3 linked regions of the Lepisosteus oculatus genome follow. The protein of the gene in region 3 purifies or fractionates together with the protein of the main gene of each other region. This does not show direct contact. Links are inferred from orthologs where the notes say so. Each region holds a gene or a part of one and is shown on either strand. Other genes may lie near its edges.

Evidence for each region. The genes of interacting proteins can lie anywhere in the genome.
Region 1: the proteins of nedd1 (region 3) and mzt2b purify together in Homo sapiens (affinity purification with mass spectrometry; 3 studies listed by BioGRID and IntAct, with this or other methods). This does not show direct contact. The link is inferred for Lepisosteus oculatus from reciprocal best matches to the Homo sapiens genes NEDD1 and MZT2B.
Region 2: the proteins of nedd1 (region 3) and cct7 purify together in Homo sapiens (affinity purification with mass spectrometry; 3 studies listed by BioGRID and IntAct, counting the BioPlex papers as one, with this or other methods). This does not show direct contact. The link is inferred for Lepisosteus oculatus from reciprocal best matches to the Homo sapiens genes NEDD1 and CCT7.

What each region holds. Positions count from the first base shown.
Region 1 is NC_090717.1:14,236,658-14,244,199, reverse strand, and holds the start of mzt2b (mitotic-spindle organizing protein 2), read left to right. Parts: upstream 1-4,218; 5' UTR 4,219-4,323; intron 4,324-5,040; exon of another isoform or gene 5,041-5,080; 5' UTR 5,081-5,083; coding exon 5,084-5,268; intron 5,269-6,304; coding exon 6,305-6,453; intron 6,454-7,542. Other genes in the region: uncharacterized protein, read left to right, coding at 1-105. UniProt on the Homo sapiens protein: Required for the recruitment and the assembly of the gamma-tubulin ring complex (gTuRC) at the centrosome.
Region 2 is NC_090699.1:10,568,110-10,575,662, reverse strand, and holds the start of cct7 (T-complex protein 1 subunit eta), read right to left. Parts: upstream 3,325-7,553; 5' UTR 3,225-3,324; coding exon 3,219-3,224; intron 1,601-3,218; coding exon 1,447-1,600; intron 295-1,446; coding exon 188-294; intron 1-187. UniProt on the Homo sapiens protein: Component of the chaperonin-containing T-complex (TRiC), a molecular chaperone complex that assists the folding of actin, tubulin and other proteins upon ATP hydrolysis.
Region 3 is NC_090702.1:51,105,153-51,112,882, forward strand, and holds the start of nedd1 (protein NEDD1), read left to right. Parts: upstream 1-4,689; 5' UTR 4,690-5,018; intron 5,019-7,527; 5' UTR 7,528-7,535; coding exon 7,536-7,671; intron 7,672-7,730. Other genes in the region: cfap54 (cilia- and flagella-associated protein 54), read left to right, coding at 386-526, 803-909, 1,100-1,250, 1,633-1,707, 3,430-3,549. UniProt on the Homo sapiens protein: Required for mitosis progression. Promotes the nucleation of microtubules from the spindle.

The sequences.
Region 1 (7,542 bases), on a different chromosome or scaffold from region 3:
GTGGATGTGTTACAGGACCAACAGGGGGCGCTCTCACCGGGGAAGCGGTCCCCCGAGGAGCAGCCGGAGGATTCGGGTGAAACCAAACGGCAGCGGACCACCTGAGGTGGACAGGCCCGCCCCATTCCTCCAGTTCCCACAGACCTGCCGCTGCAGGCCCGGTGCCCCCTGGCGGGGCACCCTGGCGCCTCAGGCAGGGGAGACTGAACTGTTGATGCAGGACCTGACCTGCACCTGTGAATTCCCACCTCTGGCTGTTCCCAGATGCCCACGTCTTGAAAGCAGCAGCTGCTTTACTGCAAGACAGGAGATGGGAGCAGCGTTTCTTACAACATTCACACAACTGGGCTTCGACCTGGACTGTCACAGTTCACAGAGGATTAAAGATCATATCTGAAGCAGAACTGTGGTTATTTATTTTACTGTACTGTATTTTATTTTTAACATTTTTAAATAGAAGGCATTGTGGAGATGATCTTTCATACCTTGTGCTAAACTCTTCCTCATCACTGACCCATTAATAAATAGAATCAGTAAAGAAGGATAAACTGCCACTGATCCAGGTTAGTGTTTTAGAAGAAGATGCACTATTTTAAATGTGTAGCAGTTCAAAAACTCTTTGCAGAAAATGATAAAAAGCTGATTTGAATATGTATGGCAGAAGAGAGACTCAAGGAATGTTCCTTGCTGTCAGCTTTTCAGTGCCACAAGCTCACTGTGATTACATTCAGGCTATTCACCGAGAGTAACGTGCTTTGTAACATGCTGTGGGCTGATACCCACTGCCGTCTAGGATGGGATAAAATGAGCAGATTCTGCATTTAACGTGAAATGGGAGTCTAGCTGTTCAAAGACTGCTGAGGAAGAAGGCCTCGGTCTGCTGTGCCAGCAAGCTGCTTTGATTGCACCCAGCCTGGGGTTTGTCCCTGTCACGGGAGTGTCCATCTGGTGTCGAGTTAAGCCAAAGGATAAAATGATCAATTCATTCTGCATCCTTTAACCAGATATTCTTGTCATCTTACCCATGTTCAGTAGGACAGTGTAGTTCTTTTTAAAATGTACTGTATTCCTATTGATCATAATACCTACAGTACTGTTTCCAACAGAGTATGAACGTTTCTGTAAAATGTTTTCAAATGTGTAAAATTGATGGGTGGAGTTGCAGCCTTATCAAGCTTTCCTGTGAGGACACTGCCTTCTGAATTACTTCCATAGTCTTATTATTAAAAAGGAAACTGTGTACGTCTTAGCCTTAATCTGAAGATGATTTTTGCCCTTGGGTGTTGCAGGTCAGCAATGGTAGAGACTGGTAGTGACTGAGAGGCCTGTGATGTTGGATACATAAGAACGTTGTGTAATATATCACACATGTGCGCTGCTAATTTACTTCCTCATGTTATTTCATTGCTCACTCAGCAGGATTGTTTTTTCTGCCTTTATAGTACTAGTCAGCAATGAAAATAACGTTGAAGTATCTCAACACGGCTCCCGTTGGAACAAAGTAGGAGCTGGATTTTAGTGCCTGGCTGTTGCCAGCTCTCTGCTTTCTCGTTTCGCACAAAAGCTCGCCCAGGCCGCCGGAGGCAGACGTGCTGGGCGTGGGTTCTGTCACAGGAGCACTGAACAAAGCCCTTCTGTTGTTGGCGATAAGAATTGTAACAGCCACTGCAGTGAAAGACTGATGAGGGTGGGTGTTTACCTTCGGAAATGTAACAGACATTCATAAATAAGCCTTAAGAAGTTTTTGTCATCGTTTGTAAATAACAATAAAGCACCGAGATGAAGATGCCAATGTTTCAGCGTAGTAGCTACTTGCAGGTTGTTGGAAGAACACTTGATTTCTGGCAGGGCCCTGGTGTGGTTTTGAAATATCTCTTTAGCTGTTCATGATAGAAGACTTTTTGAAATCATGACTTCCAGGACATTTCATGCCAAGTTCTCAAGCCTAGCGTTTTTACTCAATTTATTAAATCAAATGTTACATAAATTGTACTGCAACTTATGAAACCACTCCTGCCATTACTGGAATTGCAAGTTCTTATTTGCTAGTCTGATTAAAAGTAATTTTGAATTAGTGGTGGCCATTTGTAAAGACAGGATAAAGATTAATAAAAATTAATCTCCTGTGATCTGAGTGTTGTAGAAATATGCTTAGATAAGAAAATGATCATAATTCACCTTTGGGGGGATAAAATAGTATTCCATATAATGACCATATTAAACCACTGAAAAAAATACAGAAACCTAAATTTGTATAAAAATATTAAATGTATATTTTTAAATTGTTGTGCTGTCAATTTACACCGTAGGTCACAAAATGTGATACGTTATGCGGCTCCTCGTTCTTTTGACTTCTTTTTAAATTATTTTTTTTAAATACTTTGAAATCTCCCAGTTAGATTTCAACAATTAAAATGCGCTATTTGGCAAATATATGAGTCAGAAATTGAATTTAGCCATTGACAGCTAGTATTGATGGGGACGTTCAGGCTGAGGGCATTACTCTTATTCAGGGAACGATTTTTTACTTGCCAATATATACCCAAAGGTAAAAAAAAGCTCTGTGTTGAAATACCCTACTCTCATATGTGTACATCTCGATTCTTCCCCTGACTGCACGGTAGACACAAAGCACTGAGACATGAGAAATGTCAGCCTCAATGAAAGCTTTTAGATGTTTCTATAATTGTTCTGGCAATAGGTTGTTTTGTCAAGTCATACTTGACATATTGAACACTACTGTGATCTGTGATAAAAGTCAGAGAGCATTTGATTTAATTATTTAGCTGATTGCGTTTCTTAACTAGAGACGGAACAATACCTTTCCAGAGGCACGGCTCAGTGATAAATGCAAGTGGACATCACCATGATAGTGATAAACGCGTTACACTAAATTTCTCCATTTAATTTCAACGTCGTGCCTGCTGCTCTTGAAATATAATTACAGTTAGACAAAAGGAATGATTATATCCTGTTTTTATGAGAAATGGAAGTTATATTCGGGGCGAAGTTTATGATAGCTGGCTTTAAAACAAAGCAACACCTGGTGATCCTTTTTTTTTGTTGGCAGCTGAACTAAAATTCGTTTAGTGGAGTTTGACGCCCTCTACTGGACGGATTGGACGTCCAGATTCGGTTTATCGTCTAAAATCAGATGTCCAGATGTTATAATAATAATTACTCACACTTATATAGCGCTTTTCTGGACACTCCACTCAAAGCGCTTTACAGGTAATGGGGATCCCCTCCACCCCCACCAATGTGCAGCCCCACCTGGATGAATTATAGTTATACATTTTTACTTCAAGGTATAAAGGTATGTGTGCGGGTATTTGACGTTGTAGACCACAACCAAAATTGATCTTGAAATCTGTGCAAATGCGACTGATTTATTATGGTAGGATATGCCTCGGAATTATCCATGTTCAAATAATTCTCGTTCTGTCCTTTATCATTAATTAGTCTGAATCTTGTATCCAAAAAATCATCCAGGCGGGGCTGCACACTGGTGGTGGTGGAGGGGATCCCCATTACCTGTAAAGCGCTTTGAGTGGAGTGTCCAAAAAAGCGCTATATAAGTGTAAGCAATTATTATTATTATTATTATTATTATTATTATTATTATTATTATTATTATTTTATTGTTATTATTAAAAAGCGACATTCATCACTATACATTTGTAGAGCTAGGTATATAGTTTACTCTAGGGTACAACAGGAGTATTTTGGGATTTGACCCGACAACCTTTCTACAGATCTAGCGAGTCATTATCTGCTGTTCATCAGAAATTAGTCCAAATTGTGATAGATAAACGATCGCTGTAATTTTTATGTCAGTCTGTGTGACGATAAACAGTGGAGTAAAAAATGGACAACATTACCAACCATGAGTGGTAACATCGGAGTTATTTTAGTTCGACGAAACAACAACAAATTACTAGAAGCAGATTTAGCATAATTCATACAGAAAAATACATTATTTTATTCGTTTATTTTTGGGAAAAGCGGAAAGCGAACTGGAAAATAATCACACAATGACATTCAACTTCAAACATTCTTGACGTTGTCATTCAACATGCCTTTCGTTAAAAAGGTTATCATCTTATATTATTTAAAAATATGTGCATTGATTATTTAAAGTAATTTTGAAACAGGACCGTCCAGCAGCGGTTCACATGGCACACTCTCTGCATGAGGAACTGCGGTGCGCGATCGTGTTTCCACTCGGCTCGGAGTGTAGAGGAGCACAGATAGTTTCCACCCGAGAAACTTTCTGGGTGGGACCTGCGTCGTTACGGAATTGACAGCTGTGTTATCTTTAAGGTAAGAAACATATACTCTATTAAAATGCCAGCGGTGCTATATCTCAGCACGTTGGCTGAGTTAGTAAAGGTGATGCAGTGTGTTAGCCTTAGAGAGTTTGTTTTCCTTTTTGTAGACCGAGCGAGTTTCTTGGATTTGCATTGATGAAGCAGTTGTACTCGAGCCCTGTTTTCAATTCACACGGAGTTATTCAGAATCACTCTCATTGATTCGGAATTGGCGAGCGGGCAGGGACGAATATTTGACTGATTCTAAAAACAGGTGATGCAGAAAACGTCCCTGACTGGTGTGGGATCCGCTTTGACCACCAGTAATAAACGGGATTTTGTGCTGATCTCCGCGATCTGCCGTTCATGTTTGTGAACTAATACGAACGTCCGTAGAGCAAATTAGAAAACATGATTAAACATTATTCATTAGGGCTTTTGCAATAGCAAAGCACTGCGAATATGGGGTTAGAGAGGCATGATAAGCAAAGATACAAGACACAAGTCTTGTCTATAAGATATGATTTTTAATTAAACGAAACAAAAATACCTATTCTTTTTTGTATTGAAAGCTAACAAAGTACGGTATTTTCAGTGGCCTTTAGGCGTCCTGCGAGACGTTTTGATTCCTCTAGGCAGGGGGTGTAAATATGGTCAGGTTTTAGCTAATGCTTTGTGCAGGTGTCGATGTTTCTGCTCATACTCGTTAGTCTCAATCGACAACGTGCAGCACAGAAACCGGCAGCGACGGGGTCTCTCTGCCCTGCCAGGGAATGGCGCTCTCTCAGCAGGCCGCCGCGCTGGCGCCCAGCCTGGAGCCGCCCGCCCTGGTGGCCACGGTGAGTGGGAACGTCCAGAAGTACGCCCTGAAGAAAAAGAAGGTCCTCAGTGCGGAGGAGACGGACCTGTTCGAGCTGGCGCAGGCGGCCGGGATCACGGTGGACCAGGAGGTGTTCAAGTAAGGCCCAGCAGAGCACACACACTGGTTCTGTACTGCTTGCTTCCCCTGCTGGCCTTTCCAACATGATGAGCTTCAGCTCAGTCTATTTGTCATGTGCACAAGTGCACTGAAATGCTTATTTGCATGTGCACTCCGATACAGAGCGCATCAGGGTGAGCCAGCGGTAGGGGTAGAGTTCAGTAATCTGATAGCTTGTGGGACGAAACTGTCTCTGACTCTGGAATTCATCCAGCCATCTTCCAACCGCTTTTTCCAGTTCAGGGTCATGGGGGAGCCAGCGTCTGTCCCAGCAGGACACACACAGACACACACAGACACACACAGACACACACAGACACACACAGACACACCAGGGCCAGTTTCCCCAGAAGGCAGTGAATGTTTTTGGACTATGGGAGGAAACTGGAGCACCTGGAGGAATCCCAAACACAGGGAGAACATACAGAGCACACATAAAGCACCCTGGGTCTGGATTGCTGTCCGATCCAGCGATGCTAATCACTGCACCACTGAGCTGCCCTACTGAAACTCACTCACATGCAAAGCTGAATTAGAACTGCAGTGGAGGGGAGGGTATAATGGAGTTCTACATAAAATGGATTTGCAAAGATAAAGATTTTTGATCCTTTCTTAATGTGGGTTCTGAGAGCCATATAAAGGCCTCCACGCTGTTGGAAAGCATGTGGTTTATTCCAGAGGGGTGTTGTACACATTTGCAAACAGTTCCAGGGTTAAAGTCTATCTGAAATACAGCTCCCATCGGATGGCTGATCTGCGTGTTTCATAACCTTATAGTGTGAACAGAAGTGAACAGCATGCCCAAGAATGTGTATATATTCATTCAGTTTCTTTTGTGCTGATTCATAATGCATGGTGACTTTTGTGGAAGAACAATTGCTGATCCCCAAATTTTGGGGATACAGAAAGGAACAATTTTAACAATTTTTTAAAACAGAAGAAACCTGGAGTATGACCTAAAGCAATCTGCGACAGTGTTAATGTCTCTGTAAACTTTCATGCGGTCTGTCCTCAGGATCATTGTGGACCTGCTGAAGATGAATGTTGCTCCTCTGGCCGTCTTCCAGATGCTGAAGGCCATGTGTGCTGGACAGAGGATCGCTGACACCTCGGCTGGGGAGAGTTTGTCTGGGTCCCAGCACATTGCGGCCCCTGAGCCCAGAGGTTAGACAGTGGGGGCCAAACAGGTCATGGTCAGGCTTAGGGGCTCCATGCCTTCCTCTGTGAAAGTTTACATTAGTACCTATTATTGGCAGTGTTGCGCTTTTATTATGGTGTTCATCTGGTTGCACACAAACCTTTCCTGTAGCCCTGCCATGCTGTAGGTGTGTTTTATTATACTATGTAAAGAACGTGCCATAATGTACTGTAGCAAATGTTCGTAAGTGTGTGTAGCGTTCAGTTAGGGTCTAGCGTAATAGGGCAAAGTGACCTGATAAAAACGTAGAAAAACATTCACAATACCCAAGTGAATTAGTGCTGAACACCATAGTAAGTAAGCAATTATCATTCAGCTTTGCTATGGTGATCACTTGCTTTTCATTGCTACAAGCCTGGCTTCTAATCCTATGGAAAAATATCAGAAGACAAATCTTTAAATATATAACGTTATCCCACAGCATCTTGATGCCACCAAGACTTATATTTCTTCAGCCTGGGCTTAAGCTGGAAGGGCTTGAATTGCACAACATTATTTTGGGTGATATTTAAGATTCCGGCTCTAGGTTCTTAGTGGGATTGGGGGGTCTCCGTAGTAATGCAGGCCACCTCCTGCCTTTGACATGCTAGGTGGGTATGTGACTTGAACGGCAGTGCAGTCTGGTGATTCTGCCATTGCATTGGCCTTTAGCACTGTGTTCATTTACAGGTGCTGCTGCCTGAGCCGCATCTGCTGTGTTTCTGTGCAAGCAGACCGATGGAGCTCAGACTGCTTGTCCTATACTCTCACATAGCTGCAGCACCCATTGCCTTTGCTAGACAGTCAGAAACTTGCTTTGCTGTACCATCTCTTACAGAGAGCTTTCCTTTCACCTGTGCTGCTCGTTATGACACAGATCATTTTCCCAGCGCTTCTCTTGATTAGTACGTACAAGGGCAGATTCACCTTCGTTGTTTGGAAGGACTCCCATCGCTGCTGCAGCATCATAAACTCTGCTCAAAGGTCACAGACGTCTTCTGCTGCCTCTGCTGAGGAAAGTCTTGGCTTCAGCTGCGCAGCTTGCAGAGTGATGCTTCTGTCCCGCATTTTGGAAG
Region 2 (7,553 bases), on a different chromosome or scaffold from region 3:
TTTTCAGCGTGGAACCAACCTGTGCATGTTTTCTGAAATGCAGGGAACTGTCACAGAGCTTTGTTTAAAAAGTAGCCCACCTTCGCTTCTTGCTAGCCCACCCAGAGGGAGACTGCTTGAGTCTCTGAACACAGACCAACTCCCGGACCTCGTAGGGTCAACAGGGAGGCGTTCGACGGACACTCACCTCGGCATCCTGGGACTTGGCGATGTCCACCAGGGTCTTGGCGGCTGGGTGAACCACATCCAGGAGCTTCAGAATGGTGGCGCCGTCATTGGAGATGGTAGCTTTCCCTACAGGAGGAAGAAAAATATCACGGGATACCGTTAGCCAGCTGCTACCAGCTAGCCCCACATGACCTACTGGAAGAACACTCAGAAATACGATTTCTGGGCCAGGACTGCTGCAGTGCACGTTCCTCACAGCCAGGCAAGACACACTGAACAGTTTCTCCGCATGCAAACTGGCGTCGTCACCCTGAAGCCGCCAACAGAGAAGTGTGCAGCTCAGATCTCCACCCTGCGTGGACTTGATCTGGACAGGATGCATTTCTGTTTCAATACAGGTTTATTATTTCAGACAGTGGTCTACGCTGCATAAGGCAATACCTTGGTCACCTAAAGCCATCAGAAATAAGAACAGATAAAATTTTAAACAGATATGGATTCAAAAGTACAAGAAAATAGTTATGGCTGTGCAGCACTTAACTTTCGATATCTGAATCTTGGTTTTAATTTGATTAAAACAGTCTAGTTAATCCACAAGTTACTTTGCTATTTTATTGCAGAATACTATCTTTAGTATATGATCTATTCATGTGAGATGAGCAGGACAGGAGCCCATTGCCACTTGGGTGCATAACGGTACACAAGCTCGTGCCTCATCACTTCTAAGGACGACGTGGAGTGGGAGTGATAAGAATGCTAGAATTAAGGCGCTCCACAGAACAGAAAATGACAAGATCAGCTATTTTCAGGGGCTCAAGAAGTTGTACACGACAGGCTGATGAAGCCGAGCCTTTCAAGTACAGAACAGAACAATTAGGGGACCTGATACAACCCTTAAGGGCCCTGACAATGGCAACCCAGCGGACACCAGTGAAATTTTCAGGGAACAGCATTGAAAACTGAGGGGGGAGGGGGGGGGGGGGGGGGGCTTCTTTACACAAAGGGTGGTAGGAGTGTGGAACAAGCTGTCTAGCCATGTTGTTCAAGCCAATAACCTGGCTTCTTTCAAGACACAGCTAAAAGAGATTGTCCAGGCGGGATGGGAGGCACTTGTTTACACAAAGGGTGGTAGGAGTGCAGAACAAGCTGTCTAGCCACGTTATCAACACGAGCACCTCTTGGAGGCAGCCAGGGTAAGAGACCCTCGGATCACTGTCAAACGGGCTAGGGGGGGGTCTCCCTCTGGCCATTGCCCCGAGAGCAGGCGGCGGGGCTCACCTCTGCTGTCCACCATGAGCTTGTCCATGCCGCGTGGCCCCAGGGTGGTGCGCACGGCCTCGGAGATGACCTGGCAGGCGTTGATGTTGCTGACGAGCTGGGGGACGCCCTGGGAGGTGTCCGTCCCCTCTTTCAGCAGGATCACTGGTGTGGGCTGCGGAGCAAGAGGGGGGACTGTCACCACGGCGACTTGCCAGAACCCCACTGCGGCCAAACTCGCCGAGCACGACAATGGAACCTCACCAAAGTGCTGAAGCGTAACAGGACTACACCAACATTAAGACTGTGTATGTTTGTAATTCCCTGCTGCAGAGCAGCGAAGACTTGCTTTGCATTATGCAGATTAGGAAGAGAGAAAAAGACAAGCCTGTGGGGAAGAATACAAAGCATTCAACTGAATATTTCTGCAATCACTGTAGCCTTGGTGCAACAATCTCTTTTCTATGGGAGCTGCATCGATTGCCAATCCGGATCCATCTTGTGACTTCCTCCCGAGGACATTACTAAGGTTTTCTCCAGTGATGGGACTGGAACCAGCCCTGTGCTGTAACCTAGCAACAGACACCAGCAGCGATATTTCAGCAAGAAGGAGGTGAACACTTCTTGTGATATTCTGCACCAAGCACGAGGTGACCTACTGGCCACACCTGGGACTTGATGGCACACAAAGAATAAAGGAGAGAGCTCTTTTTATTCTATTTGAGGCAGGCAGAAAGGCACAGCTCCCTGTTGTGAGGAGGTAGTGTCTCCAGAGGCCTCTGAAATAAGATCATTAGAACTACTGTTACAGCCCAGGGGGGTTCTCTAGCCCTGATCCAGCCAGTCCAGGGCTGGTCCTGTAGAGCCACACTCTTGCCTTTAAATCAGTCTCTATGAAGTCTCATCTCTGAAGTCCATAAATACTGGAAGTTAACTGCCATCAACTCAACAGGCAATGTGTTCAATTAAGTCAGGTGGAGATCACTAGGGACAAAAACATCAATAGCTTTCACCGGGCGATTTAGGGTGACCTAAACGAATAGCTGGATTGGGGCTCCCTGGGACTAGGGGGGGGGACCCCCTCAAGGAGGGGAACAGCCATTGTCCATCACTTATTTTGCAGAATTAAAAAAAAACTGCAGCTGCACCAAACCAGGAGACTTCAATGATTTTTTTAGGCAAAATATTCAACACTGCACAAAAGGAGAGCACTTCAGCCCCTCCCTCGGTACTGTAATCGGTTACTGTGCACACGGTTCAGCACACGGAGGGCTGGACTGAAACACACAGACAGAAACCTCCTTTGATAAAGGTTCGGTTTTGTTTTTTTTTTACCGTAACTAGAGACAGTAGTTCAACAGGGCCCAAACTGTCATGTCTCAGGCCTACCGAAGACTGTCAGAGGACTGGCGCGGCGAATCGGTGCATTTCTCTCTCCCACAACACGATTAAAGACGGGAAACCCGCGGTAACACATGGGACTCCGATCCCGGAACAAAAAAGACAAACACGGTTTTCAACAAACAAGCAGCTTTTCTGTTTCAGCCAGCGGCGCTTCTGAGTCGAGCGACAATGACAAGGCAGCACCCCCACTGAAAGAGACGGAGACCGTAACCACGAGAAATCCAAACAAACAAATTGAACGCGATCATCCTTCTTCCACGACCGATACTGCCGGTTCTTAAGAGAAGGGGGTCTGCTTCGTCGAACCACCCGTGCGGTTCGATATTCTAGAGATGGGTGACAGATGGATGAAAGCGGGTTGCAAAGGGAGGGTAAATCCATTCACTCACCATCATCTTGTCGGCTCTGTCGCTACGCTCAAGCCGGTCGGAAGCTCCCACAATGCACCTCGACGGAGGAAGTTTCCAGCAAGAGGGAGGGGCGTAGTACCAACGCCTTGGCCTTACTGGGCGACGCACACCTCCTCCGTGGGCGTGGTTCGGGATGAAGCCTGTGTGTGATTGGGCTGTTCGAGAGAGGGCGGTGCGAGGGTTGTGGGAGGGGGTGGAGTTAAGGCTTGAGCGCCTTGAATGGGCGCTGCACTGTCTTCCTTGATCTTAACGGACGCTTTAGTCCGAGTTACAGTTTATCGAAAATAAACCACGAACTGTAAAAAACAAAAACAAATAACGGTGCAAAAAGCATTAAATTAGACTGATATACGATGAAAGTAATGATTAGTACAATAAAACAAACTTAATACAAAACCAACACCGATAAATATCGAAAAGAACGGATATATTATTATTATTATTATTATTATTATTATTATTATTATTATTATTATTATTATTACATTATTGGGTGGAAAAAGCCTGAAAAAGTGCAATAAACAATAACTCAAACGCAAGGCATAAAGATAGGAATTCAGGGTTGAATTTAAAGATAAGGACAGATGCGCTTTTATATTTAGAAGATCCCTCTGAACTCGGGATAGCGATAACAATAGCGACCACACAAAAACACACCAGGAAGCTGGACTTGCTGGTATTCATAGCGCAGATGTTTGGTTTTTTTCTTCACTGGGTAGCTTGTTGACCTAGGAGGAGATAACTAAAAAAAGGGAACACGTAGGTCCATGCAATAATTAACCATTGCTATGTTCTAGAGAAATCTGGTTGTAAGGGGGCTCGACATCGCAGTGATGAAAAAAATGAAAGATGCTTCTACAAATAAAGGACCGGAATATTGGGCTCCCCGAAAGTTTAGAATACCGTGTCTGTGAGGTTTTCCTCCATTTTCAAAGCGATTATTCTAGTCAGGGGCTCAGGGGAGCCAGAGCATATCCCAGCAGGCTATGGGCACAAGACACCATGCCTGTCCATCACGGGGAAGACTATGCGTTTTTGGACAGTGGGAGAAAACTCCAACATAAATGACGGGGGAACATGCAAACTCCACACAGACAGCACCCCGGGTCCGGAATTAAACCCAGGGCCCCAGCACTGCGCAACAGCGATGCTACCCACTGCCCCACTCACTGAGGAATCTCAGACAGCTATCTTAGCAACACTAGAGTGTTGAATTACAAGTCATATGGGGACAGTGTCCTTAGGGGCGTGAATATGGATTTCCCACTGCAAGCAGGGTAGCTGCGACAGCATGTGCAGGCTGCAAAGGAACATTCCCTGCTGAGAAGAGAAGAAACACAACGTTTCGGCTGTGGAGCCTTCTTCTGGTGTGAGGAAGGCCTGATGAAGCCCCACCTGAAGAAGGCTCCACAGCCGAAATGTTTTTCTTTTCAGTTTGGAACTAACCTTCACCTGTTTCTCACTACAATATAAGTATTGAATACACTATACAATATACAGAGTGGACACTATACTGTAAAAAGGCCATCTTGCTTTGGATGAGATTTAAAACCGAGGTCCTGACTCTCTGTGGCCATTAAAAATCCCTGGGCATTTCTCAATCTCCTTTACCAATCATGGCCTCCTAATAACCCCCCTCTCTGAACTGGCTTCATCACTCTGCTCTCCTCCCCACTGAGAGCCGGTGTGTGGGGAGAGTACTGGAGCATCATCCAGGTGGGGCTGCACACTGGTGGTGGAGGGATTATTTTTAACTATTAATGCTCAGAAACGTGCCAGAGATTGTTATATCCGATCTTAGTGAAATCTGCTCTTATTTACAGTGGAATAGGTGACTGTAGTGTAACTCTCACCATCAAGTGGACTAATGAGTGAATGAATGTAGGAATAATAATAATTGCTTACACTTATCTGGTGCTTTTCTGGACTCTCCACTCAAAGCGCTTTACAGGTAAGAAGGATCCCCTCCACCACCAGTGTGCAGCCCCACCTGGATGATGCTCCAGTACTCTCACCACACACCAGCTCTCAGTGGGGAGGAGAGCAGAGTGATGAAGCCAGTTCAGATAGGGGGATTATTAGGAGGCCATGATTGATAAAGGCAAGGTAGAAACACTCTGGGATTTTTAATGACCATGGAGAGTGAAGATCTTGGTTTTACAGCTCACATGAAGGACAGTACCTGTTTACAGTCTAGTGTCCCCGTCACTGTACTGGGGCATTAGGAACCACACAGGCCACAGGGTGAGCGCCCCCTACTGGTCCACTAACACCTCTTCCAGCAGCAGCCTTAGCTTTCCCAGGAGACTTCCATCCAGGTACAGGCCAGGCTCACACCCGCTGAGCTCCACTGGGCTGCTAGCTGGGAGCTGCAGGGGGATATGGCCCTTGCCCTTTTTCAAAACATTTAGCTGTCAGTCCCCTTTTCTCAGAAAGTAAAAATACCGTGGCCTTTGCAAAAGATGAGCTAGGGACACAGCCTGCCACCCCTCACCAGGGCCAGGCTGAGGTGCAGGCTCCCTGAAGGGAAGAGAAGTCAAGAGGATACCGTCCACCCTGTGCCCGCTAACCACAAAACTGTGACACCACTACCCCTCCCCGCCTAGCACAAAGCCACAGCAGGAACTCACCCACCTGCAGAAAATTAAACTGGGAGACAGGAAAGACTTCAAGAGAGAGGACGCCCTGTGGTCCATCTACCCCTTTAAAACCTCGAGTTCCACACTCCCACCACTCTGAGAAAGATGCCAACAGCCCTTGCATTAGGGCATTAGGACCAACTTAGGGGTCCTAATGCCCCAGTACAGTGATGGGACCACTTTATTGTACAAAGGCACCGTCCTTTGGATGAGATATCAAACTGAGGTCCTGATTCTTTGGGGTCATTAAAAATCCTAGGGCATTTCTTGAAAAGAGTACGGGTGTGACCCTGGTGTCCTGGCAAATTTCCCCCTGACCTTTGCCAGTCATGACCTCTTATTAATGTCTTACCTCATCCAGGTGGGGCTACACATTGGTGGTGGTGGTGGGATTTCCCATTTCCTGTAAAGAGCTTTGAGTGGAGTCTCCAGAAAAAAAAACTCTATTTAAGTGTAAGGAATTATTCATTATTGTTATTTAAAAATAAATATTAAATATTAAAAAAAACAGATGGCTGTCACAAGACCTTGAATACAGAATCATGCCCAACAAAAATGGGAGATTTCACCATCCTGTATCGAAGCTGGACTTTATATGTTCTCCCAGTATTTGCTTGGGTTTCCTCCCACTGTCTGAAGACCTGCTGCTGGGTTAATTGGCTTCTGGGGAAATTGGCGCTGGTGTCTGTGTTAGTGTCTGTCTGCCCTGTGATGGGCGTCCCATCCAGGGTGTGTCCTACCTTGCACCTGTTGCTTGCTGGGATAGATTTTTAGCTTCCTCTTGACCCTAAAGGAGTGGTCAGAAAATGGATAGGTGCAGCCAAGTTGTTCTAACAGTGATAAGACTCTTAAAGGCCTTCCTCTAGAGGGCAGTGTTGATGCACGGCAGGCACTGCTCAGTGCCTGAGTCCGTGGGTTTTTGCTTCCAGCTCAACAGTTAACGAGCTGAACCGGCCTGTTACCGGGCTTGTCTCAGACCCTTTTAAAAGCTTCACCCAGCTCCTGCTGTAGAGATCTGCCCCCTGCTGGACACCCCTGATTTACACTAAGATAATGTAACACCTGTACACGTGTCGGCCCGCAACCCCGTCTCTCCACACAGTCTGCTCTTTTGACAACTGCTGCTCCTTCCTCATGAGTTTTCCCTTACTTGCCCACATTTCTCCATTACAGTCAGACCAGAAAGGGATCTTGCAGTGAGGCTCATCTTGAACGGAAGGAGTAACCGAGCAAAAGCTACTTTTAAACCTTGTTCAAATTTAAGTTAAACCAAGTTCCACTTGTTCAGTCATGATTTCCTTCTTTGTGTCCAAGGAAGAAGGCAGAGGCTCTGCTGTGTTGTGATGTGGGTGTTATTTTCTGAGCAGCTGAAAACACTATGGTATTTGTATTCTGCATTAAGGTATAATAAAATCCTCATGTCAGGTCAGCTTTGATCTTATCGTGATAATTATTGAAACATCGGAGGTTGATCATGGCCACAGCTGTGGTATAAAAAGCCCTCGTAACTCCTCGTGATTGCGAGCTGAGTGAAAGAGAATAAGTAGTAATAAAGGCTGAAGAAGGCTCCTGAAGAAGACACCTGAAGAAGGCTCCACGGCCGAAACGTTGTGTTTTCGGAAACGTTGGAATAAACCTATTACTTGTTCCTTTGCAGCCTACGCACGCTGACGCA
Region 3 (7,730 bases):
AGAAAGGAAAGTTTCTATCTCAATGAACTTGTTATTTACCAGAAACTTACAGCAAACAGCTTTGGGGTGTCTGGAATGGAAAAGGCTTTGGGATTATTCTGCATCATTAACTCAGAGAGACTCCAGCTGAACAGATGAGAGGCACATATCAACCAAACTTTCTCATTCCTTGGGGTTACATTACTTGAGAGCTGTTAGAGATGAGGTTAATGTCTGTACGCTTTTCTGTGTAATGACAAAAAACAGGGCCCATTTGTAAATTTTGTAAATTATTTGTAAAAAGGGCCCATTACCATTTAAAATGTTCATTTTAAAAAAGTATCAATTAAGACAATTGAGCTGTTCCACGGCTTGCCAATTCACAGACATGTGCTTTTCTCCTCAGCCCCGGCTAGACAGCTCTGCTGGCCAAGAGTCTGAAATCGGGCTGGGGGGACTGGACTCCTTTGCCTCAGCCTCCACAGACCGAGAACTGTGTGTGCAGTGGTATTGCCCAGCACTGCACACTGGACACACACAGCCTGTGGTAACTGTCTGTCACTATTCACACAAAAAAGTTACTCAGTCTTTTCCCAACGTAATGCTATGCCACCTTACTTGAGTACTGAATAATGACAGTAACAGACGAGACAACAGTAACACATACTGTAGAGCATACATACAAATGGAATTGTAACTGTTTGGTGACATCATTTTAATCAGTGATCATGATTCTCAGGGATATAATAATGAATTTAATGATCTTTGTATCATTGTTCTGAGTTTGGTTTGATTTGTGTGCTGCTGTGCCCCTGGTCTCTAGATCTTACTGGTCTTTGCCTGCAACACCAGGCCCCTCTCTGCAGTCAGGCCCTCAGGTGGTGGCCTGTCCGGCCTACACTGTGGACATCGCTGGATCCCCTTACATAGGTGATAGCCTGCCCTCTCTGTCTGTGGTCACCCCTGTATCCCTTCTTCCGAGTTTCTGAGGACCACTTTCACTGCCCTTCTCTTCGCTCTGTTGAACCCTCTCTCCAACCCCTGCCAGTATCGTTCCAGCAATTTCCATCTTCTGCTGTCCTGTCTCTTCATCTCGGACTCCTCCTCTCGCTTTTTTCAGGCTGCAGGCTGTTCATGCCCAGTTATGCTCCCTGTGTGTGGATGCTGAGCAATCGGCACCTCCTGTGGCCAGTTCCCCCAGCCCTCAAGTGGAGAAGCGTCGTCAGGCAAGGACCCCGGGGACGGGGCAAGCCCTGGACCCTCCGATACAGGTACTGTCCACTGCCTGAGAGGCTGAAGAGCAGACACAGGACGAGTATTACAAAGACAAAGAAATTCAAAATTCACTCACAGAGAGAACATTTAAGAAGGCTGCTGAAATGAGAATGTAGCATGGAATCGCACAGCCATTCGGGATACAGATTCCATGTTTATTATCAGATGAACACTTCCAGTATAAGGGATTGTCTTTCTTGGATGCACCATGTGACCCAAGCCATATGGTATTTGAATTTTCTTACCTTGAAAGCTTACCTTGAATCTGGGATTGGGTTTCTCAAGTGTTTTGATTTCTATGTATATTTGTACACAGTATATGACACAAGCAGCAGTTTAGCATGAGGAATATTAATGCTCCTCTCTTTGGGTCTGCAGGGGCAGGCCAAGCAGTGCTGCGCACAAGTCAAGTCTTTGCTGCTGGATCTCCCAGAAACAGTGGAGCTCACTGAGGTAGGTCTCCTGCTCTGGGCTTCACCATGGTCATCACCTCATAGCTGGAAAATGGGACTTCCATGAAATAAACAGAAACAGAGTGAGATAATGGCCTTTTTCAGTACGCTGCTTCACCTTCAGAGAAGTAAAATATGTTGGAAGTGCACTTAAAAAATAAGTTGCATGATGAAAGGCTGAAAGGCTAAGAATTTCTTGATCTTGACCAAGTCTGTTCTGATTAGCGAAGAAAAAAAAAAGAGTCTGCTCAGGACTGGACAGTGGAGCACTATTATTGTCCCTGATTGCCTCAGTTAAATCTAAGTGCTCATTTTGTTTTAGTATTACTGCAAGTTCAGCATGATCGTAGTAGATTTCCCTGCGTTGCCTTGGGAATTAGGTATTCTGCTCTAAAGTAAACTGAAAAGTAAAAATTTCCATCCTTACTCTGCAGAATGCAGAATTCTTACTTTCAACTGCAGAATTGTAATTGAAATTGTAATTTCATTTGAAATGAATCCTTCATTTAACTACATAAGTCCTTTAAAATCTCTCATTTGTAGTGACTGCCTTGAGTGTATCAATTCATACAGCAAGGTATTTATTGACGAAATCACCTTGCTCAACGGTACAACAATCCCAACATGGATTTGAACTCATGGAGACTGAAGTGTGAAGTTTTAACCACTACTTCATATCCCTGCCTAAAGTTTACAACTCAAGATGAGACATCTGCTTTGTTTTTTTTACATGAGAAATAAAAGTAAAACAACAAACCTTTATAAAGAACTTACTAACCACCCATGGAAAAAATGAGAGTATATTTCAGGTTATTTTAATCTCCGAAAAAATCTTTTAAGCCTTAGAAAAATATTTTAAGAAGGCCTCATTCTGAAGAAAGCAAGAGGCTCAGAGGACTTCCACTTGGTAAAGAGGTGTGCTACATTAAATATCAAGAGAGTCTCCTTCCACTTAGCTCCCTTGCCAAAATGTGTCATTCTCAGGGACATACTGTACAAAACAATGTGTAGCCATGCTGAAAGGAAAAGAAAAAAAAACGTAACGTCCATTCTTTCAGCATGGAATAAACCTTTACCTGTTCCTTTGCAGCCTACTCATGCTGACGAAGCTACCTACTTGAACTTCTTCAACCCCTGTGTAGCTATGACATCTGCCCTAAACCGAAATTTAACTAAATTTGGAACAATCTTGCACTGAGTGTGAGAACGTCCTAACTACACCTATATTCCAGCATGGAGTTTTCAGAAGTCTATCATTCTGTGCTATTTTCATGTACACTTTTTCTTACTACTTGGTTTACTTGCTACTTTGCCTTCTACAATGACTTTTCTGATTGTACGTGCTGTGTAGAAATGTCACCATCACTGTCTCACTGCAGCTGTAGATTTTCCAGCTGAGGCCTCACTATAAATATACCTGCACAATTCTGCCTGGCTTGTATTGCGTGCTGGGCTTCAGTCCTAGTCCTTTTTCAGCACAGTATGTCCTTTACTATCACCAATCTGGGGCTCTGCACTGGATTATTTAGTCATAAAGGAAAGGAAGTGCCAGTTGTTGGTATATAATGTTATTGTGCTCTTGGGTGTAGTGTATTAGCTGTGTGATGTGTAATTGGACTTGATGAAAAAGACTATCCTAAGTGAATTTTCATATACAGAAACACCTGTCTTGCTTTTTAGTCTAATACTGCCTGTTGTTCTGCTCTTTTTGTCTCCATTGAAGGTTCCCTTTGAGCTGAGCAATCAGGCCCTGCGTGATCTGGAGCAGTGCTTTAACCCCGCCAGAGGCTTTGTGCTTCAAGCGGGTAGCGTCTTCGACTGGCTCATGTCCCTGCTGGTCTGAGGCCTACAAAGATATCAACAGTCTGAATGTTTCCCCATGGTGTCCACGTCAGTGTGGCAGAAATAAAATGAATGTGTATCTACAGAGCATCTCAAGTGTTTTTAATGAGTACCTTATCATAACCTCCATTGTCCTATCCCAATATCACAATCTGATTATTACTCAAAAAAAATAGTTTTTAATCCAGCACATCACCCATCAGATCAATGTTGTTTCACCAAGGCTTTTACAGCTAGTAATTGTACAGAAAGCGATGCTGTGGCTTTATTAGTCAAATCTGCATTAATACAACTGCAGTGTCTGCAATATTAATAGACCCCAGGACAGGCATTCCCATTTGAAAGACTGAAACACTGCCCAATAACTCAAGCTGTGAAGCATTGTTTTTTTTATAACAGTATCAAACTATATACTATAGATCACTACATAAAGGCATCTCAAAATCGCACATACTAAGTACAAAATAACAAGGTACTAATAGAAATATAAAATCCAGAAAAAAAATAATTCAAAAATGAAATACTAGGAAAATGAACACAGAGGACTCAGTCTTTACCCAGAGGGAGAATTTTATAATGCAGACTTGATTATGGTATATAGGATATTACACTTTTCCTCATATATACCTATGTATAAAATATAAAGCAGGAGTTATGTAGCCAAGGTTTTGTCAAGACCCAGTCCATTATGGGTTTAAAATCGTGACCAGTGCCGATTTAGGGTATTCTAAAACTATCATCAGGAGAGAGATTTCGTTACTTTCGTTACTTACTTATACTTTCCGTCAATAATCAAGAAAACTGTCACTTGTATTATTTTTTTGAATAGCCATGTCCTTTATACATCATATTAACAAGTAAAAGTGGGGTCACATACTGTATATAATACATTTTCAAAAGGCAATCGGTCCCGAGTCCTGTTAACACAAACAACTGCAGTTCAAACGACTTTACTATAGTGAAGTACGAAGTTACTACAAACGGATTTCAATGGAAAAACAAGTGGGTGTTGGGCGGATCGCTAGTAGTGTGAACGGCCACTGCATTTAAACTTTCCGGTACTTTCTGCAACACAGCGTTACGGTATCCGAGCGCCGGCTCGCATCTGCTGACGTAGACGAGTCTGTGCTTTGCAAGCCGAGAGCCAGAGGCGCTGAGCTCCCACCCGGCCAGTCCTCTCGGGAGCCGCACGGTCGAGTTCGCCTCTTGGCCCCGCCGCGTTGCCGTAGCGGCGGGCGCCGCGGAGCCTGCAGGCGCGGAAATTCCTGCTGGGGGCCGGAAACTTTAGTGGGGCGTTGAACGGAGTGAAGACTGAAGTGGCGAAGAGAGAGAAGGGTGGCGGGGACAACCGTGGAGTAGCGCAAACCCCCCCCCCGCGCCACAAAACCATAGAGGGACTGGACCTGCTGTGCTGCAGGAAAACTGGGGGAGGGAATAAATACCACCTGCTAGTCGAGTGAAGTAGCCAAGGTAAGGGTCCTGGCTCTGGGGTTGTTCGAGTCCGCCGCTAATTATAGGATAATCCTTGTCAAGTATGTACATAAACAGCAGACGTGAAAACCTTAGCGAAAGGCAACGAGTTGCAAGGGGGGCGAATCGTAACTATAATAAAAGCTGACCAGAAACTTCTTATTTATTGTTAGGTTGTCCCAGCAACAGTTGGTATTGATATTGATAAGCCTGCCGTTTTGTTTCAATTAAATATGAGCAGCTGATGATCCGGATTTAGCGGGTCCCGCTTTCATGCTGCGAAGACTACGGCTCGATATTGGCCTAATTGTCTGTATTGCGATTTTCAAATTCATCTGTAAACGTGACGCATCTGTAGATGTTTCCCAGTCTCGCTGTCAGGTAGCCATGCTGGATTTAGCTGCGACTTATTCACGCAACTGTGTATTCATTTGATCTGTGAGTGAACGTATAGGTGAAACCCACATAAAACTTTATTTTCACATTTACATGAATACATGAATTTACATGAATAATACGAGTTTCTGGCCACGTTTAATATGCTTTGTGGTATTTCTTATTTTAAAAGAAATCCGAAGTTTTGCCATGCGGATTTTGAAGTTAATACGCTTACAGAGCTGGAGAAAATGACATTTAGACAAACACCTTGAGGCGGTTTGCAGAAATAAAGCGTGCACTTTCCTATTATATTGTAGACTTCTTGAATTATTTAGGCTGTATGATGTTGCTACTGTACATGTGCACTATTAAGAGCTTACTTTTGAAAATGGTTATTTGCGATGTAGTTTTAGGACAAAAAACGTAAGGAGCTTGAAATGATCTCTTCATTCTTGTGCATTGAGGCAAAGGCACTTATCTAATCCTGGTCACTAACAACATCGGCATGAAAAGAGTTCCTTACACCTCACTGCATAGCTCTTAATATGTCATGTTAGCCTGAATTCTGTCATCGTCCAGTCCTGTGCAAACAGCAGTCACTGACAAGCTTGCTCACTCACTGCATACTAACGAGGATGTAAAGCACGGTACAAAATAATTTGGTGGTGAGGATAGTTTCATGATTGGGTACCTTTGAGCAACACTCACCGACAGAGGAACAGACATAAAATCATGATCCTAATGAAATGGTGGTTCTGTTGCCAACCCCACCTCAGCAGAATCACAGTAATAAGACCAAGTGTGGTCTAAATTATTCTTAGGTAATTGTTTTATGATAATAACAGTAATGATAAGGGGGTTAGGAGAACATTGTTCTTGTAGCCTTTTTCAGCATCCCACAATTACCAGTAGGTCATAGCATTTGTGTATGTATTTTCCTGTTCTTTCAAGAACAAGGTTTCACCAAGGGTTGAAGGGCATAAATATGCCTCTTTAGTGTTGTAAGTATGCTAATACTCCATATTTAGTTCAGGTGGGTAGCTGCGTCAGCATGCGTAGGCTGCAAAGGAACAAGTAATAGGTTTATTCCATGCTGAAAAAAAGAAGAAAGAGAACACAACGTTTCGGCCGTGGAGCCTTCTTCAGGTGTCACACCTGAAGAAGGCTCCACGGCCGAAACGTTGTGTTCTCTTTCTTCTTTTTTTCAGCATGGAATACTCCATATTTATGTATTCAATGTCCGTGCTTGTTTTCAGTCATGAGCAGGATTCCCAGTGGTTACAATTTTATTTGTATTCCTGAGTGCTTTTGCCTTCTGTAGTGCCTCTGTACATGTGTAGTGTGCCCCTCACCGAACTGGGCAATATTTCCTGTTGTTTCCTGGTTAGCCAGCTGGACAAGAGTGGGCAGCTGTAGTCATTGCAGTTCCTAACACACAGCCCATCACCACTTTGAAGGGCATCAGCTGTGCAATGGCATCACATTACAAAACAACTGCAGTTCCTGCGACCTGAACATGGTGGTTCTGTTTTATTTGCAACTACAGTAGGTCTGGTAGAACCTTCTGTATGCACATTATCGCTGGCGTGAGGTGTTGCTTGAAATGTGTTTTAAAATCATTTTTAATGAACCAGTTAGCACTCAAGAGCCATTCCCTCTGCAATAATGGTGTTCCTTTCTAATATTATCATTTCTATACTCAAAACACTCCCAGAAACAACCAAGTAAATGAAATGAAAGCTGTGTTCCACATGGCCAAGTTATAACATGGGTAATTCACTTCTATTTATAACCATCATTGTAAGGAGATGGTCATTTGAGCTTGTGCAACACAGTGCTTTAAATAATGATTGCAGTATTTTTTGAAAAGATGTTTCAGGGCATGTTGACATTGCAAATCCAGCAGCTTTTTTTCTATGTAAAACAATTGTCATTTGACATTCTTTGCAAAACCGAAAGTCCAGACTCTTTTATCCCAATGCTTCAGTCTTTGCCAGTGAACATTTCCTTTTCAATTTCCCTAACTCAGGCATCCGGTAAACTAACTCAGCACTGTGATGGTGTGCCATCTTCTGTGCTCTTCTGCAGTCTTCCCTCTCAGTGCTCAAGTACTTTGCTTGTGATTTGGCAGGTGCATCCATGGATGAGGCCATTCGACTGGTGTCATCCGGAGACGATGTGAAGATCTGGAACTCGAGCTCTATGACAGTAGTCGAGCAGTTCAACCCCCACAGCATCACTCACCCTGTGTCCCGAGTGTGCTGGAGCAGCAACAGTATCCTTAACGCACCGGTCAGCACAATCTGTTCATGCACTGACCAGTTTGGGTGGACA